Linked DNA regions of Lonchura striata. The protein of the gene in region 2 purifies or fractionates together with the protein of the main gene of each other region. This does not show direct contact. Links are inferred from orthologs where the notes say so. Each region holds a gene or a part of one and is shown on either strand. Other genes may lie near its edges.

Region 1 (9,322 bases), on a different chromosome or scaffold from region 2:
CCAGAGCAGGAAAAAGGGGTGGGGGGTCCCAGGATAAGGGTTCCAGAGCAGGAAAAGGGTGGGGGGTCCCAGGACAGAGCAGGAAAAGGGGTGGGGGTCCCAGGACAGGGGTTTCAGAGCAGGAAAGAAGTGGGGGGGGGGTCTCAGGACAGGGGTCCCAGGGTAGGGGGATCCCCAGGACAGGGGGTTCCAGAGATGGGGGGGACCAGAGCAGGGGGTCCCAGGACAGGAAAAAGGGGTGGGGGGTCCCAGGACAGGGGTCCCAGACCAGGAAAAGGGGTGGGGGGGTCCTAGGACAGGAATAACAGGACAGGGGGTCCCAGGGCTGGAAAAAGGGTAGGGGGGTCCCCAGGACAGTGGGTTCCAGAGCAGGGGGGGGACCAGGGCAGGGGAAACCCCAGCCCAGGAAAAAGGGGTGGGGGTCCCAAGACAGGGGATTCCAGAGCAGAAAAAGGGGTGGGGGGGGTCTCCAGGGCAGGGGTCTCAGGACAGGGGCCCAGGGCAGGGGGATCCCCAGGACAGGGGGTTCCAGAGCAGGAAAAGGGGTGGGGGTCCCCGGACAGGGGTCCCAGGACAGGGGTCCCAGGACAGGGGGGTCTCCAGGACAGGGGGTGCCAGGACAGGGTGGGGGTCTCCAGGGGAGATGGGGCTGGGGGTGATGGTTTCTCGACAGTGATTCAAAGCAGAATGAGGTGGGGCAGGGGGGGAGTTTTCTACCAGCCCAGGCTTAAAAATAAATTAAGGGGTGGGGGGGGGCATAGCCTAATGAATTGGGGTGGGGGGCTCCTAGAGGGGCCGCAGCCCTTTCGGAGGTATCAGCAGCAAAAGCCCCCGCGGGACCCCCAAGAGGAGGAGCTCGGGGCGGGGCCGGGGTGGGGTTTGGGGTGCACTGACCGGTTTTTTGGGGGGGTTTTTGGGGGGCTGGCCCCTAGCAGGCACAGTCCTGGTGGGGGGGGGCCTGCTGGTCCGTGAGCTGGGGGCCCTGCTTGGCGCCGGTGACGGCGGGGTCGGCCGTGTCCAGCGACTCCGACATCTTCTCGCAGATGATGTCCACCAGCCGCTCGAAGGTCTGCTTCACGTTGATGTTGTCCTTGGCGCTGGCCTCGAAAAACTCAAAGCCTGGATTTGGGGTGGGCGGGAGGGACAGAGGGACAAGGGACACGCATCAAAGCTCCGGCTCCGCGCGGCTGCTGCTCCTCCTCCTTCAATATTCAAAAGGTTTGCGACCCGCCAGCCACAAAATCCCGTTTTTCCCACCCAAAGAACCCCCCCAAATCCTCCCCCCAGCATCTGGCGGAGCGTCCAAGGCGTGCAGCGACCCCGTGGTTTCTCACCGCCGATGTCGGAGCGCAGCGGTTACACGAAGGGAATTAAGCCCTTAATTAAATTAATTGCAAGCCTGGCAGCCACGGTGGGAGGTTCCCCCTCCCCAGCTCACCCAGGTGCTCGGCGAGCTGGCGGCCCTTCTCCGAGGAGACCACGCGTTCATCCTCCATGTCACACTTGTTCCCCACCAGCAGGACCTGGGCGTTGTCCCAGGAGTAGGTCTTGATCTGGGTGGACCTTGGGGGAGGGAGGGCGAGGTGGGTCAGGGGCGTGGGGAGGGGGCGGCCGGGGGTGCCCAGAGCCCCCCGTGCTCACCAGTCCTGCACGGCGTTGAAGGACTCCTCGTTGGTGATGTCGTACATGAGGATGAAGCCCATGGCGCCGCGGTAGTAGGCGGTGGTGATGGTGCGGTACCGCTCCTGCCCGGCCGTGTCCTGCCCGGGCACAGGGGACAGCAGAGCGTCACCCCCGCGCTGTGGGGACACCCCCTGGGCCAGCGGCTCCATGGGGGCAGATCCAAACCCACCCTGGAATCGCCCTGGTGGGGCAGCTCCACAGTGACCATCATCACCCAGGCGAGCATCAGCCCAGGGTGACCGTCAGCCCAGGGTGACCATCAGCCCAGGGTGACCATCAGCCCAGGGTGACCGTCAGCCCAGGGTGACCATCAGCCCAGAGTGATCATCAGCCCAGGGTGACCATCAGCCCAGGGTGACCGTCAGCCCAGGGTGACCATCAGCCCAGAGTGATCATCAGCCCAGGGTGACCGTCAGCCCAGGGTGACCGTCAGCCCAGAGTGACCATCAGCCCAGAGTGACCATCAGCCCAGGGTGACTATCAGCCCAGGGTGACCATCAGCCCAGGGTGACCGTGACCATCACCCCGGAGTGACCGTCACCCCAGAGTGACCATCAGCACAGTGACCATCATCACCCAGGCAAGCATCACCCCGGAGTGACCATCAGCCCAGGGTGACTGTCAGCCCAGAGTGACCATCAGCCCAGAATGACCGTGACCGTCACCCCAGAGTGACCATCAGCCCAGAATGACTGTGACCATCACCTCACAGTGACCATCACCCCACAGTGACCATCAGCCCAGAGTGACTGTGACCACCACCCCAGAGTGACCATCACCCCACAGTGACCGTGACCATCACCCCAAAGTGACTGTCACTATAATCCCAGAGTGACCGTCAGCCCACAGTGACCGTCAGTCCCCACACCACCACCCTCACTGACCACCACCCCACACTGACCACACCCCACACTGACCACCACCCCCACCATCCACCACCCCACCCCACCCCAGGGCTCCAGGGGCACGCCCAGGCTCTCCCCTCACCCAGATCTGCAGCTTGATGCGTTTGTCGTTCCGGTAGATGGTCTTGACCTTGAAGTCGATGCCGACGGTGCTGACGAAGGCGGGCGTGAAGGAGTCGTCGGCGTACCGGAACAGGAAGGAGGTTTTCCCCACGCTGCTGTTGCCGATGATCAGGATCTTGAACATGTAATCGAAGTTCTGGTCCGAGGATTCCTTCTGCCCGTAGCGGGAGTCGGTAGCGGACGCCATCTGCAAGGTGGAGGAGAGGCCGTGACGGCGCCGGCGGCGGTGCCAGGCATCGCTTCGGGGAGATTTTGGTTCGGGATGGGCGACGGCGTGGCCAGCGACGGGTCACTCGGCCCCGAGGGGCTGGCAGAGGTCACCTCCCGTCACCGTCACCCCCTGAGCAGGAACCGCGGCGTGTCCACAGCAGATGTGGGGCACGCGGCCCGCGGGGTTTGCCACGGCCCCAGAGATCTGCTGTGGATTCCAGGATCTGCCACGGCTGCCGGGATCTGCCACGGCTGCCGGGATCTGCCGCGGCTGCCGGGAATTTGCCACGGCTGCTGGGATCTGCCACGGCCACCAGGATCTGCTGCAGTTCCTGGGATCTGCCGCGGCTCCTGGGATCTGCCGTGATGTTGCCGTGGCGTTGCGGGTGCGGCCGGGGCGCCGCAGCCTCTCCCGCATCTTCCCGGTGACAAAATGGCACCGGCGGCGGAGCCCCCGCACGGCGTGGCCAGCGCGGTTGCGAGCCGGGGGTGGCACCGGGCACCGGGGGTGGCACCGGGCACCGGGGGTGGCACCAGGAGCCGGGGGTGGCACCGGGCACCGTGGGGAGGGCGATGCCAGGCAAGGGGGCACAGAGCCCGGCTTGCCCAGGGTGGAGCACAGGGATGCTGGGCAGAGGGGATGCGGGGTGCGCGTGGTGCTGATGAGGGCTTTGGGGTGCTGATGGGGGTTTTGGGGTGCTGATGTTTTGGGAGGGGGTGCAGTGATGCAAGGGAGGGGTTCAGGATGGTGATGGGGGGTGCACAGGGTGCTGATTGAGGGGTGGGGGGGCAGAGTACTGCAAGGAGGGGGGCTAGGGTGCTGATAAGGGGGGTCAAGGTGTTGATAAGGGGGGGTCAGGGTGCTGATGGGGGGGTCCTGGTGCTCATAGCGGGGCTAGGGTGCTCACAGGGGGGGTCAGGGTGCTGATAAGGGAGGGTCGAGGTGCTGATAAGGGGGGTCAGGATGCTCATAGCGGGGGTCAGGGTGCTCATAGCGGGGGTCAGGGTGCTGATAAGGGGGGTCGAGGTGCTAATAAGGGGGGTCAGGGTGCTGATGGGGGGGTCAGGGTGCTCACAGCGGGGCTCAGGGTGCTGACACGACGTTCACACGGGGCTGATGGGGAGGGGGGGGTCACCCCCTGCTCCTCCCCGCAGGCCCGATCCCGCTGCACCCACTCGGTCCCCGCCGCACCGAGACCCCCCCCCAGGCCCTGCGCAGCCCCCCCCCGCGCCGCATCCACCATCATCATCATCATCATCATCATCATCACCCCCCCCTCCTCCACTGCAGCCGCCCCTCCCCGCCCGTACCGGGGGGTCACGGAGGGGGCTCGGGGGGGTCTCGGGGGGGGGGGGTCCCGGTTTGAGGGGTGGTGGGGTGGGGTCCCGGTTGGGGGTGGGGGGGGGGGGTCTCACCTCTGCCGCGCTCGCGCCGCCGCCTCCTCCCCGCAGCGACTGCAGCAGATGCGGAGCGCGGGTGACGTCGGCAGAGGGGCGGGGCCCTCTTATGTAAATCAGCTCGCACGTCATGGGCGCGCCCCTGAGGGAGGCGCTGATTGGCTCGGCGGCGCGCTTTGATGGACGGCGGGCGGACGCGGGGGAGGAGACCCCCCCCTCCCGGCGCGGTGGTGGGCGCCGCCCCCCCCCTCCGGCAGCGCGCAGTGGTGCGGTCCGGCCGCGCTGCGCGGGCCGCGGGATGAACCACCCCTGCGCCGGCGGGGGTGCGGGGCGAACCATTCCCGCCCAAAAGGGGGGGGGCGAGTTTTGACAGCCTCCCTGTCGCGACATGGCGCCTATCGCGACGCCTTCCCCGAGGCCGGCGGTGGCGGGCAGGCCGATCCGTGCCGTGGCGGGGCGGCTGGCACTGAGGCGGGGCCGGTGCGCAGGTGGGCGGCCATGTCCTCCGCCGCCCTGAGGCTCCGGCGGGATTAGGGCCGGCAGCATATGGCGGCCCCGGGGCACGGCACCGCCCGGCCCGGCCCGGAGCCTCCCGGTCCTGCCCGGAGCCTCCGGGCACCGCACGGCTCCGCCCGGCCCGGCCCGGCCCCGTGCCTTCCCTCCCGCTGCCGCTCCTGCCTCCTGCCCCGGCTCATCCCACACCCCCGGCCCCGGGGGCACCGAGCTGGACACGGGGATGGAGCCAGAATCAGGGATGGAGCCAGAATTGGGGATGGAGCCAGAATTGGGGATGGAGCCAGAATTAGGGATGGAGCCAGAATTAGGGATGGAGCCAGCTGTAGGATGCAGCCAGAATCAGGGATGGATCCAGAATTAGGGATGGATCCAGACTCAGGGATGGATCCAGAATTGGGGAGGGTCCAGCTTTAGGACAGATCCAGAATTAGGGATGGATCCAGTATTAGTGGTGGATCCAGCTGTAGGATGGAGCCAGAATTAGGGATAGAACCAGCTGTAGGATGGAGCCAGAATTAGGGATGGGTCCAGCTATAGGACAGATCCAGAATTAGGGATGGATCCAGCTGTGGGATGGAGCCAGCTGTGGGATGGAGCCAGAATTAGGGATGGATCCAGGCTCAGGGATGGATCCAGTCTCAGGGATGGATCCAGGCTCAGGGATGGATCCAGAATTAGGGATGGTTCCAGAATTAGGGATGGAGCCAGGCTGCTGTGGCCATTTTCCATCACCTTCCCCAGCCAACAGCCCCTCAGCCAGAAATGGGGGAAAAAAGGGCTTTTTCCAGCTGCCCCGCTCCAGCCTGGCAGAGTCCGGGCTGGCTCTGGATTCGGGGAATTGGAGAGCCTCTGGAGAGACAAGGGGACCCCAGCACCCAGCAGGGCTGGCCCGGAGCCACGGCCACGCCGTGCAGGGCCCTGCAGGAGGTTTGGGCTGGGGAAGAACCGGCAGCTCCCGAGGCCCCGCTGCTGCCAGGGCGGGCAGGGGGCGAGGGCCCCAGGTGCCAGGGCAGCGCCGTGGGTGGGGACGTGTTTGTGGAGATAAATCAGCGTGGGGAGCAACGCGGAAGAGCCGGGAACGGGCTCCGCACCGCGCCAAGCCGGCGATTAAATATTTACCTTAGCAGGTCGTGTTTGCCGGTGATGGATCGGCGTTTCCAGGGAGGAGCTGGATTTTGTTCCAGCACCGAGCCTGGCCCTGCCCGGTGCCACCAACCACCGCTGCGCTCCCTGGGGACATCGGCTGCGGCTCCCGTGACACAAAGAGGCGCTTACGAGGCTCGTGTTTAGGGTGGAACAAACCGGGTTTAATCTCTGGGAGGTGAAGAAGAATCCCAAAGGACCCTGCCCCAGGCAGGACAGCGGAGATGGAGGTGAGGGGGTTGGTGACAGCGCCCGCCAAGGTCCCAAATGTGAAATGCAAATGGCATTTGGAGCGATCGCAGAGCAGAAATGCAAGTTTCCTCCCCGAAAAAATTGCATCTTTCCGCCCCCCAAAAAATGCGTGCGTGCCTCGGGGAGGCCCGTAGTAAAAAGTGAGCTACAAAAGGCTTTAAAAAGTGAACCCATCCCCAAATAAATAAAGCTCTGAGCCGTGCCCGTGCCGTGCGCCGGTGCCTGGTGCTGGGGGTGTCGCCAGCACCCTCTGCCCACCTCGTCCCACCACGGGGCTGCCCTCCTGCAAGGGGACACCCGGAAAGGCGCTGGAATGCTCCTTGCTGCAGCCCCTGGGCCGTGATGTCCCCAGGGCTGGGGTGTCCCCACGCCCCGGCTGAAGGGGACAGGGCCCTTGCCCGGGGAGACCAGCAGCGTCCTCCTACCTGCCAGGACCTGTGCAGGTCCTGAATGGGGAAGCGTCCCAGGTAAACCGAGCTCCTGCAGTGCCAGTGCTGCCCAGTGCCAGCTCCCCGCTGTCCCCAGGGCCGTGCCCAGTCCCACGTCCCCCCGGCAGCCAGGGGACCCCCGGGCCGGTGGCGCTACGTGCCCAGGGACAGGAATGTGACGTTGCCCTCTGTGTCCAGGCACAGCCCCTGGCTGCCCGCGGGCCCTGGCACCGAGCACCCGCTGCCACCGTCCTTGGGCAGCGTCCCCTGCAGCGCCTGCCGGTTGTCCACGTCCCTGGGGCGGGGGACAGGCGAGTCCCGGTCGCCGGGGCCGGGGGACAGGCGCTTGGCGTGGGCAGGCTCCGAGTCATCCGTGCCCGGTGTCTTGGAGCCGCTGTTGTCCTCATCCAAGGGGCTCTCGGCGCCCTCCAGCTCCGTGTCCGACTCACCCTCCTCCTCCTCCTCCTCCTCCAGCGTCAGCTCGACCTGGAACTTGTCGGTGCTGGCAGGGGACGGCGCGGGCGGCTCGGGTGGAGGTGAGGGGCTGCGCGGGATCATGCTCTGGTACCACTGCCGGTTGTCCTCCAGCGTGTCCAGCAGCTCCTGGGCGTCGGGGTGCACCAGGTCGGCCCACGTCTCCCACAGCGGGTGGGCGATGAAGTCGATGAATCCCACCTGGGGGGACGCAGAGCTGAGCCCCCCGCCCGGCCCTGCGTCCCCCTGCCCCGTCCCCCAGGCTGCCGCCCCACCTGGGACTTCTCCACGGAGGCGGTGTGCTTGTCACACATGGGGCTGATCTCCATGCCCTTCTCCCGCTCCCGGTCTCCTTGGTGGAAGAACTCCACCATGATGCGGTCAGTCCACTGCCGGTACAGCTCCAGGGGCTTGGTGGGGTTGCTGAGGTCGGCGCAGTGCACCATGTTCTGCAGGACCTGCGGACGCCGTGTCCTCTGTCCCCCAGGGCCACCCACACCATGCCACGAGCTCGCTTGGCCCCGCCGGTTGGGTTTGGGGTGGCGGTGGCACCAAATCCCAGCAGGCCAGAGCGAGGATGGACACCTGCGGCGCTGGGAAGGATTCCCCAGGCGCGTCCCCACCTGGATCCGGTCAGAGTAGTTGTCCAGCAGCAGCACCCCCAGGCTGGTCACCTTCTTGGTCTCCACCATGGTCTTCAGATCCGCCAGCAGGTTCATGTGCTTGGACATGTCCGTGGCCAACACCTGGGCAGGGAGAGGTGGGAACGGGTCTCAGCCTGACCCCCCAGCGCAGACCCCACCCTGGGGTGCTCTGGCCCCCCCATACCATGTCGATGACCATTTTCCGGAGCGTCTGCCTCTGCTTCCTGCTCAGGTTCTGGAAGATGTCGCAGTTCTCCTCCTGGAGGAGCTTAAAGCCCACGGCCAGGTGGTGGTTCTCCAGCACCGAGGCGTCGTTGTACATCAGGGCCAGTTCCGAGTCTGTGAGACGGCACTGGTCACCCCGGGGTGACTCCTGGGGTCCCCCAATATCCCCCAGGTCCATCCCTGCGCCCCGTCTCACTGGTGTTGATGAGGAACTGGTTGGAGACCCCGGGGTGGTCGACATCATGGATGGCGCTGGCAAAGATGGCAGCCATGATCTCCAGGTCCGTGAAGACAGCCTAGGAACGGCGGGAAGAGGCGTTGGGGACACGTTACGGCCCCGCCAGGCACGCCCGGGTGGCCTGGGGTGAGCAGGAATCACCTCCAGCGCGGGCGTGGAGAGCAGGACGTGCGTGGACTGCGCCACGTCGGCGGCGTGCAGGCTGTTGTGGTAGGCCACGTCGGCGTGGTAGTGGTCCTCCAGCGTCAGCATGTAGGTGATGAAGGTGTTGACGGGGATGCGGAAGGTCTTCATCAGGTCACGCTCCTGCGGGCAGGCAGGAGGTGGCTCGTCCCCGTCCGGCCACACCAGGGCCGGGGACACCGCGGTGGGACGCTCACCTGGAAGATGCTGTACATGATGACGGTCAGCGGGCGGTTCCCCGAGTACTCGGCGACTTTGAACACGTCCAGACCCCACTTGTTGGTGTCCTCCAGCTCCTGGGGAGCAGAGGGACAGAGATCCATGGGGGGCTGGTGCTGGGGACCCCGCGGTCGGGGTGGGGGTCACCCCTGCCAGGACCCACCTTGGCCAGCAGCGCCTCGTGGTCCGTGCGCACCCCGAAGCGGGGGATGCCGGCGGCGGCCAGGCTGGAGCCGTGCTTGAGCTTCCTGACGCCGCTGATCTGCGACATGGGGCGCTTCCTCCGCTCCTTCTCCTTGTCCTTCGCCAGGGCCGAGGGGATCTCCACCTCGTGCTGCTTGTCTGGGGTGACACGGGGTGGCCGTGAGCAGGGCAGGAGCCCGAACGTCACCGCCGGCGTCTCCCCGGGTCACGCCGTGACAATTTGGGGGGCTGCGGCACTTTACCCCATCCACAGCCCACACATCTGCCAGGGGACCCCTGGACGCTCCTTCAGGGGTGCCCCAACAGCCCCAGTGCACCAGTATACACCAGTATACACCAGTATGAGCCAGCACTCCCAGCTGGGACACGTGCTGTGGCATCTGTGGGACAAATCCCACTGGGACACCTGGGACAAGCCCCCTGGTCCCCCCCACTCCAACCCTCCACAAGAAGCAAGCGGGACCCTCCGCTGGCATC
Region 2 (10,227 bases):
GCGTTTCCCTTGCCGGGATTTGTCGGGCAGGAGGTAGGTCTTCACATACCTGAAGGGAGAACAGGCAGCACTTCAACAAGGTCTCTCCAAAGCTAATCCTCCGAGCTTCCCAGGGCAACCCCAGACCTTGTGCCTCACCAGGACCCTCCCACTTACAGCTCCCATCTCTGGTGGGCACCCACAACCCAGCTGGGCACCACCAGTGGTGGCAACAGCCATCGCCCCCCTGGCTCTCACGGGTTGGAGCGCTTCCTGCCCTCGTCCCCGTAGGCCAGCTGGCGACACTCCTTCACGTGAATGAACAAGGTCTGTGTCTTCTGCTCGTAGCTCAGGGAGAAGGAGATGCCCCCGGTGACAGCCACGCTGCCGAAGTCGCCGGCCTCGCTGTAAATGCTGACCATGCTCCCCAGTGTGCTCTGGAAAACAGGGCAGGGCTGAGCTGGCACAGGATCACCTGACAGTCCCTCCTCATCCTCAGCAAGGTTACCCCTGTGCCTCTTCTGCACGGCCCCCCTCACCTCCCTGTGGCTGGGGATGGCCACAAGTGCCTCCCTCCCGCACACAGCTGCCTGGAGGAGAGCTGGCTCTCTGCATTTTGATCCCTTTTAGGGGAGAAGCCCTCACACACAAGGCTCCTCTCCCTGCAGCGGAGCAGAGCACAGCCCCCGCGGGCACTCACCGAGGAGGTGCCGCTGCGCATGCTGCCCCGCGCCACCCGCTGCCGGTGGATCTCCACCAGGTTATCGATGTCCTCCTCCTCCTCCTCCTGCAAGGACAGAGAAGCCGCCGGTGTGGGGAGCAGCCAGCCAGCGGCTCCTCCAGCTGGCAGCCATCGCCGTGGCACTCTGAGGGTCTCACCAGCTCCGTGTTGAGGCCAGGGACTGACTTGCTCCTGTCCCCCAAAGAGCCACCTTCCCCCACAAGGTCCTCGGGGCGCAGGTCGATCACGGACTTGGTGTAGTCTGCACGAGAGGCGGTGAACAGCGCACGGAGCAGGACCAGCAGAGCCCCGCTGCTCCCTCGCACAAGAGGCTGCCCCAGCCTCTCCCATCTGCACTGAAAGCCCTTCCCAGCCCAGGGAGGAGGAGCTGCCCACCCCTGGCCGTGTCAGCATCTCTCACCCGCAGGCCGCACCACCCGCCGGGGGTTCTTCTGGAATATCATTTCATGTTCATCCACCAAGGTGCTGCTGCGGGTCCCCACGGTGGCATCCTGGGAAGGAAGAGTCCCCTGAGAGCAGGGCAGGGCTAGGAGCCCTGTGGGGTGCCAGCCCCACGCCCCAGGACAGGGCTGAGCCTGTCGGAGCAGCGTCACGCACCCGCCCGTCAGAGAACGCGTTCTTGGAGCGGAGAGGGAGGGTCAGGCTGGAGGAAGCAGGTCCTGCTGGCCCAACAACCTGTTTTCCAGGGATGGCTCTCTCCAGGGAGTTCCTCCTGTGGCAAACACAGAAAGGTCTGTCCCAGACCACAAGCACAGCTGGCAGAGCAAGTGCTGGCCAGGAAGCGCCACTTGAGCTGCCCGTAGCAGCCTGGGAGCAGAGGATCTTCCTGCCCAGGGACAGGCTTCAGCCCAGCCAGAGGAGCCAGCTTCCCCCTACTAGACTGAGAAAAACACACTTCAGATGAAGGTCCCATCCTCTGCCAGCCAGTCTTGCCAAAGACAAGCCCCCCTGGGATCCTCTCACCTGCCGCCCACATCAGCAGGACTAGGTTTGTAGCTGTCCAGGCTCATGTTTTCCATGGACTCTGTGTCGCTTTTGCCATCCCTAGGGTCTGAGGCATCTGGAAACAAACTGCAGACAAGCAAAACCACAGGTATGTCCTGTTTGGTGAGGAGGTCGGTCTGAGAGAGCTCCTGCACCACCGATGATCCGCACAGGGCAGAGCTTCCTCTCAAACCTGCAGCAGATGAGAGCTGCTGCCTGGAGCACGGGGGACAGCAGGGATTCCTACCTGGACCCCTCCCGGGGTGCAGGGGGGCTCGGCTGCCGGACTGCAGAGGAGCTTTTAGGCTCACTGAGCTGGGCTTTCTGGAGGAGAGTATATCCCACAGTCTCTCTTTTGTTGGCTGCAAGAGAGGCATCATGAGGAGCACTGCTCCAAGCTCACTGCTTGGAGCAGGAGCTGCTCCCATCCAGCTCCACACTGGGCAGAGATGCACTGGGGAAAGCTGGAGCATCCCACGTGGCTGGGCTGTGGGAGAAGGCCTTGCTGTGGCACCCCTACCTGCCGGCCTGTGCCGCAGGGACAGCCGCACCATGTCGCTGCCCAGGTGGTTGGCAAAGCGGTTCACCCTCTGGTCATAGAACCAGTCACCCGTTGCCTTCTTCAGCTCACTGCAGGGCAGGGGTGGTGGGGGCAGTCAGGGGCAGTAGGGACTGTCAGCTGTGCCCCAACCCACCCTCGGTGCTGCCACAACCCGAGAACACAGGCACAGTGGGCAAAATCAGCAGGTGACTGGGCAGGGACCATTCACCGGGCAGTTGACAGGCTCAGCTACATCCTCAGCAAACACGGCAGCAAGGCAAGTTTTGTAGGACAGAGGAAGCCAAAAGGGAGGAAGCCTGGGGTGCTTGGAACACAGCTGTGCAAGGGCACAGGGGGATGCTGCAGTTAGTTCAGGTGAAGGAGCAGGACATGAAGGAGACACAAGAGAGGGGTATGACCCATTTTTCCATCACCCAAACACAGGAGTGACAGCAGAGCAAGCTGCCCTGCACTGGGGAGGACCAGCCAGGCTAGGAAAGGCTGGCTATGGGGCAACAAGTTGAGGCAACTGAGAGGAGGAAGGGGAAAGGAGGCATGTGCACAATGTGCCTGCCACTGGTCCTGGCTACTCACGCCTCCTTGGTGCAGACTTTGCAGCGCCAGGAGCCGCCGGGGCTGTAGGAACGGCAGTCCCGACACACCAAGTGGTTGCAGCCCCGGCAGGTGTTGGCCTTGGGGCTGACGCGGCCCAGGCTCTGCTGGCAGCGGGCGCAGGTCCGCTCGCTGTAGCGCTGGCTGCCCCGCTTGGCTCCCTTGCGCCGGATCTCCAGCAGCTCGTTCTTCAGGCGCCTGCCCAGAGCCGACACCGGGAGCTGTCAGAGGCGCCCCGGGACCCCGGCGACACCCGTCACCCACGCTCTCGCTCATCCACCCGCCTCCAGAGCATAGCGGGGAGGCAGCTCCTGCCCAGCTCCAGCCGCGTTCGCACCTGATCCTCCTCTCCTCTGCCTTGCGGAGCTCCTCGTCGCGCTGCAGGACCTGCAGGATCAGATCTCTCTCCACGTCCGACAGGAAGGACAGGTCCACAGCCTCCGACATCGCTGCGCCCGCGATGGCTGGCCCTCAGCGCACGCCAGCTAGGGACATGCCAGCTGCTGAGCGCGGGTCGCGCCCCGCGAGGTGCCCCGTGCCCGCTGCCGGGGCTGGACCCGGCGCTGGCGGCACCCAGGACACCGGCCCGCCCGCCGCCTCCGCCGCCCTGCCCCGGGCTGGGCTCGGGCCGCCTGCCAGCCCCGCCGCCCCGCTGACCTCAGCCGGCTCCGTGGGACCGGGCTGACGCGCAGCACCCGCGGGCAGCCCCGGCAGGAAGGAGCCGCCCCGGGCCGCCCCTCCCACGAACGCCGCGGGGCTCGGAGCTGCCCGAGCCCGAGGAGCCGCCGGGAGCGGACACGCACCAGGGCGGCACGGCCGGATCCGGCTCGCAGGCGGCGGCACCAGGAGCCGGGCGGCCGCGGCCGCTCCAGCCGGGACGGAGCCGCGGCGCTGGCTCGGGGGCTGCACCGCTCCCCGCTCCCGCCCGGCCCGGCGGAACCGGCAGGGACCTTCCTGTGCCCGCAGCCGCGCTCCGGCGGCCCTCGGGGAGGAGGGGGCGGCGGGGCGGACCCCAGGCTCCTCTCTGTCGGGAAAAGTGGGATCCGGGGCCGGGAGCGCCGCGTTCGCAGCGCGGCCACCGGGGCTGGGAACTGCCCCCGCCCGGGACACCGCGGCTGGACCGCCGGACCACAGAGGGACCCCTGGCTACCCCCGACTCCCCTGCAGCCGAGGGACCCCCGTCCTGCCCCGTCCGCGGAGGAACCCTCGGTACCCCCGCCCGATCCCACGACCGTCCCGGTACCTGCAGCGGCTCCGGCCGGCGCCTCCCGGCAGCGGGAGGGGACAGCGGCAGCGGAGGGCGGCGCCGGTGCCTTAAAGGAGCCGCGGCGGCCGCACCTGCGGCACGGACGGGGCGGCCCGTGCGGGAGGCGGTGCCCGCTCCCTCCAGCCCTTCCCCGCCCGAGCAGCCCCGGAACAGCTGCGGCTCCAGCCCCGCGGGCCGGTGTCCCCGGTGCCCCATGGCCCTGACTGGGTGGGTGGCTTCTCCCGACGAGCAGAGAGCGCACCGACACCCGAACTGCGGGGGACTCCCCGGCGTGCCCGCGGAGCAGCCCAGGGCCGCGGCCGTGGCGTCCTCCCGCCGCAAGGCTCCGGCCCTGCCCTTGTCCTTCGTGGCAGAGATACCGTCCCCGCAGGGCGCCTCGTCCCTGCCCCCCGCAGCACAGCACCGGGGAGCCCGAGCACTCGCGGCTGGCCGAGGCGTGGGGCTCCACCCGCGGGGAGGCGGCTGCTCGCCACGCAGGACAGCGCGGAGCCACCTGCGTGCAGCCCCAAGGCAAACGAGAGGACGCGGCTCTGCCCTCGCTTTCGGCCGCGCCCCAGGGATGGGAGAGCCGGAGGCTTCCAGCCCTGTGGGAAGTGATGGGACACTGATAGTGGAAAAAACCACGGAGACATCAAAGGGCCAGCGGGAACTTCCTTGTGCGGCAGGGGTTCGCTCCATCGGGAGTACACAATAAATATGCAGAGGGCTTTGGGCTTGCAGGAAGACAATGCCACAGAGGCTTTGCTCCCTGAGCCCCTCCGCACACCACCCTGGGACCCAAAGTCCCCAGGCCAGACCCCCATGCTTGCTCCAAAGTTCACGTTTTGACTGGACACCAAGAGGTGGTGAGAAACATCTTTATTTCTGAAAAAAAGATAGGAAGGAAACAGGATGAACAGACTTGCTTCAAGTACATTAAAAAAGCATGCTGCTAAATACAAGCACCAAGCTTGTCCCTGACTTGCCGAAATGAACCCAGCAGGAACCCAAGGTTTCTCAGCACTGTGGCTCTCTCCTGTGTGAAAATGGGGCTCAAGGTGCTACCACGTGTCCAAGACCTGGGCAGCAGCTGGCAGAGCCAGGACAGAACACTGGCAGTCTGCACTCCAGCTTGCTCCATCTTTGTCTGGATCATGAAGGGATCTGCCGTGTGGAGCACAACCCTGGGTGCCCTGGCACAGGGAGGCACTGCTGGGCAGTGCTGCCACCTGGGAACTAGGGAACATAAGGCACATCCAGGCTGGCAGCAGGACACACTGGCAGCATGTCTCTGCCCCTCGTGCTTTGACACCAGCCTTCCAAGGGATCTGGAGCCCCAGCGGTGCCCATGTCCCGCTAAACGGGCAGCACAGGCCGGCACTCGAGGTCCAGCACGAGGTGATGCACGTGTGGTGCGTAGGACTTCACTGCCTCGATGTGCAGGATGCTGCAGCACCACGGCCGCCCGTGCAGCTCTGCCAGCAGCCCCTGGATCCGTGCGGCCGTGGCTGCAGCCCACCGCTGCCACTCGGGTCTGAGCCTGGCCCCCAGTGCCTCCTGCTCACTGTGCTCCACCGGGTGCCACGCCTCTCCCGCGGAGCTGGCTGCCTCTGCGGAGCCCCGCTCAGCCAGCAGCACCGCGGCGTGCGCCGGGCGAGCCTCCACGTTCTGGTGGATGTGCAGAACCCCGCCCGTGTCCTTCTTCAGGACGCGGCAGGCCACCGGCCAGCCTTCCTCCGAGCTGGGAAGCAGCCCCAGGTTCACCCTGTCCGCCACATCGCGCAGCTGCAGCTGGGAGGAGAGCGGAGGTGAGGGGATGCCCGCGGGAAGGGCTCCCGCGGCCGGCGGCAGCGCTCACCTGCCGGCTGTCCCCGCCGTGGATGCGGCAGCGGTCCCGCACCCCGTTCAGCACCAGGCTCCTGTGCAGGGCCTCCACGGCGTGGCTGTTCCACTCACAGGCATGGACAAAGGCGGCTCCCGCGTGCACCAGGAACGGCAGCGTGAAATAGCCGATGCCTGCAGGCAGGAGGTGGCACTGACTGGGGACAGGGACCTCCAGAGAGCCACACTCCTCCCCGAGGGCAGGGCAGGATGCACACTGACACCCTGCCTCTCCAACTCGGCTTTGCTCTGGGTTGGAAAAAGCCCAAACACTGGAAAAATGGGAATTTATCCCTCCCTCTTGTGCAAAAGCAAATTTTGCCTTGAAAAATGTTTAGAGGAGATTATTTAACCTTCAGTCTTTGGCCACCAGGCTGAGATCTGTCTGGCTCTGCAGAAGTGTCCAGATTACCATTTCTTTTGATTAATCCACAGGAGTTTTGTGGGTGGCATTGTCCTTTCAGTGTGGCACAAATTGGAAGCACTAACTTCCTTAAGCACAAACAGTGGCAAATCTTTACCCTGGATCAAAGTGATTCCCCAAACCAGCACAAGGCACAGAGCCTGAGAACAGGACATCTTAAGTGTCCAGAGGCTGCAGGGACACAGGCAGGACAGCAGTGCCAGTGTAGCTGAAGGCCTCACAGACAAGATAGGAGCTCTAAGCCTGAGTATTTTTCATTCCAAGCTGGAAATGACATTTCCTGTCTACCTGGATGCCATCAGCACCTGTCCTGCTCCTCCTCCGTCCCCATTACCTGCATAGAGATCCACTACGACCTCCCCGGAGCAGGGCAGTGAGGCCACACGCAGCTTCTCCGTGATGTTGCCCGGGGAGAACATGCACTTGGTCACATCGAAGGTGTACCTGGAAGACCCGGCCCAGATGGTGAGGGCAGCCCCTTCCCCAGAAGCCGCATCCTGCATCTCCTGCCCACCTGATGCCGTTGTCCACGCGCTCCACCCAGCCGTGCTGGCCCAGCAGCAGGGTGACGCTGGGGGTCCGCATCCCGTCCGGCATCACCCGTCCTCGCCTGGCCACCCGCCGGGCCCCCAGAGCCGAGGCCACCGTCTCCCAGAGCTCCGGGCCTGCAACACAGCACCCCGGGAGGCGCGGGCAGTGAGACACAGTAAAAATTTAACAGAGCAGAAATTCGTTTAGATTTAAGTAAAATGCACTCCTTTGAGCTTACTAACTTAAGTGAAATATGTTATTTAGTCTAGTAACTACAGCACTAGCAAAGTTGTCTTAACTAAAGAAGAGATAAGAAAAACTCCTCAGATTTAAAAAGCAGAGTAACCCAAAAGTTTTCTATACCTTCTAACAAAAACTAAGTAGAAGTGTAACTAACTGTAAATATAACACAAAATCAGCAGAATGAATATGCATGAACCTATTGTAAAATTCTATGCATGCAGGAAATTACCTCGACTAGAATTTTCATAATAATTTTTATTACCCTGACTAGAAATTAGTCATGATAATAGAAAAAGATAAGAGTTTTCAGAAGTGTGCATGTCCATTAAAGGGCATCCACAACACTGTGAATAAACACACCGTTGCCTACGAATCTTTGTTAGCATTGTAGGGTTGGATTTTTCACCCGTGTCCCAGCGCTTACCCAGGCGCTCCCAGGCCGGGTGGCTGAAGCTGTCCTCGCTGAGCAGCACCAGGTCGCCGTGGCGCTGCCAGGCGTGCGGCAGGTCCCGCTCCAGCTCGGCGGGCCAGCCGGCGGGCAGCAGCCGCCGCAGCTCCTGGAGCAGCCTGCGGGCCGGCGGGCGGCGGCGGGCGGCCCTGGAGGGGACAGCATCCTGCGGCAGGGCCGTGCCGCGGGGGCCCGGGGCTCAGACAGCGCCCGGGGCTCGCAGCCGGCCGGCTGTGCCAACCTGGATCCGGAGCAGCTCACAGGGCATCTCCGCGGGCAGGCAGAGCTGCGACAGCTTCTCCTCCAGCACGGGCACGGCCACGCGGCCGCCCGGCAGCCGCTGCAGCCGGTAGCGCCCGTCCAGGAGCCGCTCCTCTTCCAGGCATTCCCTGCGGGGAGAGGCCCTTCAGAGCCCGCGGCTGGCCCCGGACAGCACGGGGACCGCTGCCCCCATCGTGCCGGAGCACAGGCCCCGCTGCCCTCGCTGCCCCGGGCCTCACCTGAGGCGCTGGGCGAACCTGCGCTCCGTGGCCAGCGCGGGCACCTCCGCGGCTGCCATCCTGCCGAGCCCCGAGCGGGGTCAGGCCCGGCGGGGGCTGTGCCCGAGCGGCATCCCTGAGGCCGAGGGAATCCCCGAGGCCGCTCCCGGTGCCGGCGATCCCCGAGGCCGCGGCAGCCCGTTCGCGTCCCGGGCAGTCCGTTCGCAGTCCCGGGCAGTCCCGTTCGCGTCCCGGGCAGTCCGTTCGCGGTCCCGGGCAGTCCCGTTCCCGGTGCCGGGCAGTCCCGTTCCCGGTCCCGGGCAATCCCGTTCGCAGTCCCGGGCAGTGCCGGCACGCAGCCCGCGGCCGGCGGCGCCGGTTTCCCGCCGGAGCGCTTTGGCAGCGGCGCCGCCGTGGAAGCGGAAGCGCGGTCGGTGCGGACCGGAAGCGGCGCGGGCGGCGCGATGGCGGGGCTGTCGGTGCGGGACCCCGCCGTGGATCGCTCCCTGCGCTCCGTGTTCGGTGAGGCCGCCTGCACGGGGAAACGGGCACGGACGGGCAGGGCAGGCGGGGGCCGGCGGGTTTTGCCCCTCGCCGTCGGGGCCGGTACCCGCCGCGCTGACCGGCGGCACCGTCTGTCTCCGCAGTGGGGAACATCCCCTATGAGGCCACGGAGGAGCAGCTGAAGGACATCTTCTCGGAGGTTGGGCCCGTGGTCAGCTTCAGGTGAGAGCGCCCGGTCCCCGTGCTCGGCGCGGACCGAGCCCCGCGGGCTCCGCGGCGCCGGCCTTGGAGCCGTGGGATCGGGAATCCTTAACGCTGGGAAAGGCCCCTAAAGCCACCCAGCCCCACCGCTCCCTCAGCGCTGCCAGCCCACCGTGCCCCCAGGTGCCACATGCACCCCGCTTCTGGCCACCCGCGGGACGGTGACTCGGCCACTGCCCGTTCTGCTGCTTGACAACCGCTTTGGCGAGGGAACTTCACCTGATGTCCCGTCTAAACCTCGGGCCCCTCCAGGCCGTTTCCTCACAGAGAGCAGCAGCTGCGGGGGTTGTGAGGCTGTGCCAGATGTGCTCGGGGCAGAGGGACGCGGTGGCTGTGCCAGGGTCACCTGTAGATGGAGCACAGTGCCCCGGGTACAGCAGGTGGCTGTGGGCATGCAGCTCTGGGCTGGAGGAGCTGCCCTGCTGTGCCTGATAAGTGCTCAGGTGCCGGTCAGGCTCTGTGCTCCACACTGCCATCCCTGTGCCCCCACAGTGCACCAGGCTCTGGAGAGCTGTCAGTTCAGGTTTTAATAGTTCTGGGAGCAGCCAGTCCCATCCTAGGGGTCATGGCAGGCACACAGCTGGCACTGCCCACCGCAGCTTCGGGACCAATCGTGCCAGGAGCCAGCAGCCCTTTGGCTTTGGCGTGGGCCCGACTGCTGCGTGCCTTGGGCTGACCTCCCCGTGTGCCCCGGAGCGGCAGGCACCGCGGGCTGCCCGCAGTGCCCTCAGCAGTGTTGCTTTCTTCTCTGCCAGGCTGGTGTACGACAGGGAGACGGGCAAGCCCAAGGGCTATGGCTTCTGCGAGTACCAGGACCAGGAGACGGCGCTCAGCGCCATGCGCAACCTCAACGGGCGCGAGTTCAGCGGCAGGGCGCTGCGCGTCGACAACGCCGCCAGCGAGAAGAACAAGGAGGAGCTCAAGAGTGAGTCGGCCTTTTGGGGTCTGCCTTGGGCCGGGCTGTGTCTCTTGTGCCAGGCTGGCAGAGCTGACCTGCTCTCAGAGGTGTTGCGGGTAGTTCCCCAGAGGGATGCATGGGCTCAGCTCTGGTGTTTCACTCCAAGATGATCACAGAACCACAGAATTACTTAGGTTGGAAAAGGTTTGTAAAGATCACGGTCCAACCTTTGACCAAACACACGGCATCAGCTAGACTGGAGCACTAAATGCCACATCCAGTCTTTACTTAAACGCTTCCAGGAACAGTGACTCCACAACCTCCCTGAGCAGCCTGCTCCAATGCCTAATCACCCCTTCTGGGAACAGATTCCTCCTAAGGTCTCCCTGGTTTTGCTGGCTCCCTTTCCCCCGTGCTCCCCTCCTGCGGAGCCTGTTCCATGCGCTGTTCGTGT

What was found.
Region 1: the proteins of SYTL4 (region 2) and RAB3A purify together in Homo sapiens (affinity purification with mass spectrometry; 3 studies listed by BioGRID and IntAct, counting the BioPlex papers as one, with this or other methods). This does not show direct contact. The link is inferred for Lonchura striata from reciprocal best matches to the Homo sapiens genes SYTL4 and RAB3A.

What each region holds. Positions count from the first base shown.
Region 1 is NC_134630.1:6,990,190-6,999,511, forward strand, and holds the start of RAB3A (ras-related protein Rab-3A), read right to left. Parts: upstream 4,474-9,322; 5' UTR 4,452-4,473; coding exon 4,338-4,451; intron 2,899-4,337; coding exon 2,671-2,898; intron 1,761-2,670; coding exon 1,642-1,760; intron 1,564-1,641; coding exon 1,439-1,563; intron 1,120-1,438; coding exon 929-1,119; 3' UTR 1-928. Other genes in the region: PDE4C (3',5'-cyclic-AMP phosphodiesterase 4C), read right to left, coding at 6,812-7,333, 7,408-7,590, 7,756-7,878, 7,961-8,115, 8,198-8,297, 8,381-8,545, 8,620-8,718, 8,805-8,983. UniProt on the Homo sapiens protein: The small GTPases Rab are key regulators of intracellular membrane trafficking, from the formation of transport vesicles to their fusion with membranes.
Region 2 is NC_134616.1:895,733-905,959, reverse strand, and holds the start of SYTL4 (synaptotagmin-like protein 4), read right to left. Parts: upstream 4,141-10,227; 5' UTR 4,102-4,140; intron 3,344-4,101; 5' UTR 3,306-3,343; coding exon 3,196-3,305; intron 3,057-3,195; coding exon 2,841-3,056; intron 2,336-2,840; coding exon 2,226-2,335; intron 2,068-2,225; coding exon 1,953-2,067; intron 1,793-1,952; coding exon 1,685-1,792; intron 1,434-1,684; coding exon 1,319-1,433; intron 1,213-1,318; coding exon 1,122-1,212; intron 963-1,121; coding exon 859-962; intron 767-858; coding exon 680-766; intron 417-679; coding exon 238-416; intron 50-237; coding exon 1-49. Other genes in the region: CSTF2 (cleavage stimulation factor subunit 2), read left to right, coding at 8,575-8,632, 8,758-8,836, 9,631-9,800. UniProt on the Homo sapiens protein: Modulates exocytosis of dense-core granules and secretion of hormones in the pancreas and the pituitary. Interacts with vesicles containing negatively charged phospholipids in a Ca(2+)-independent manner.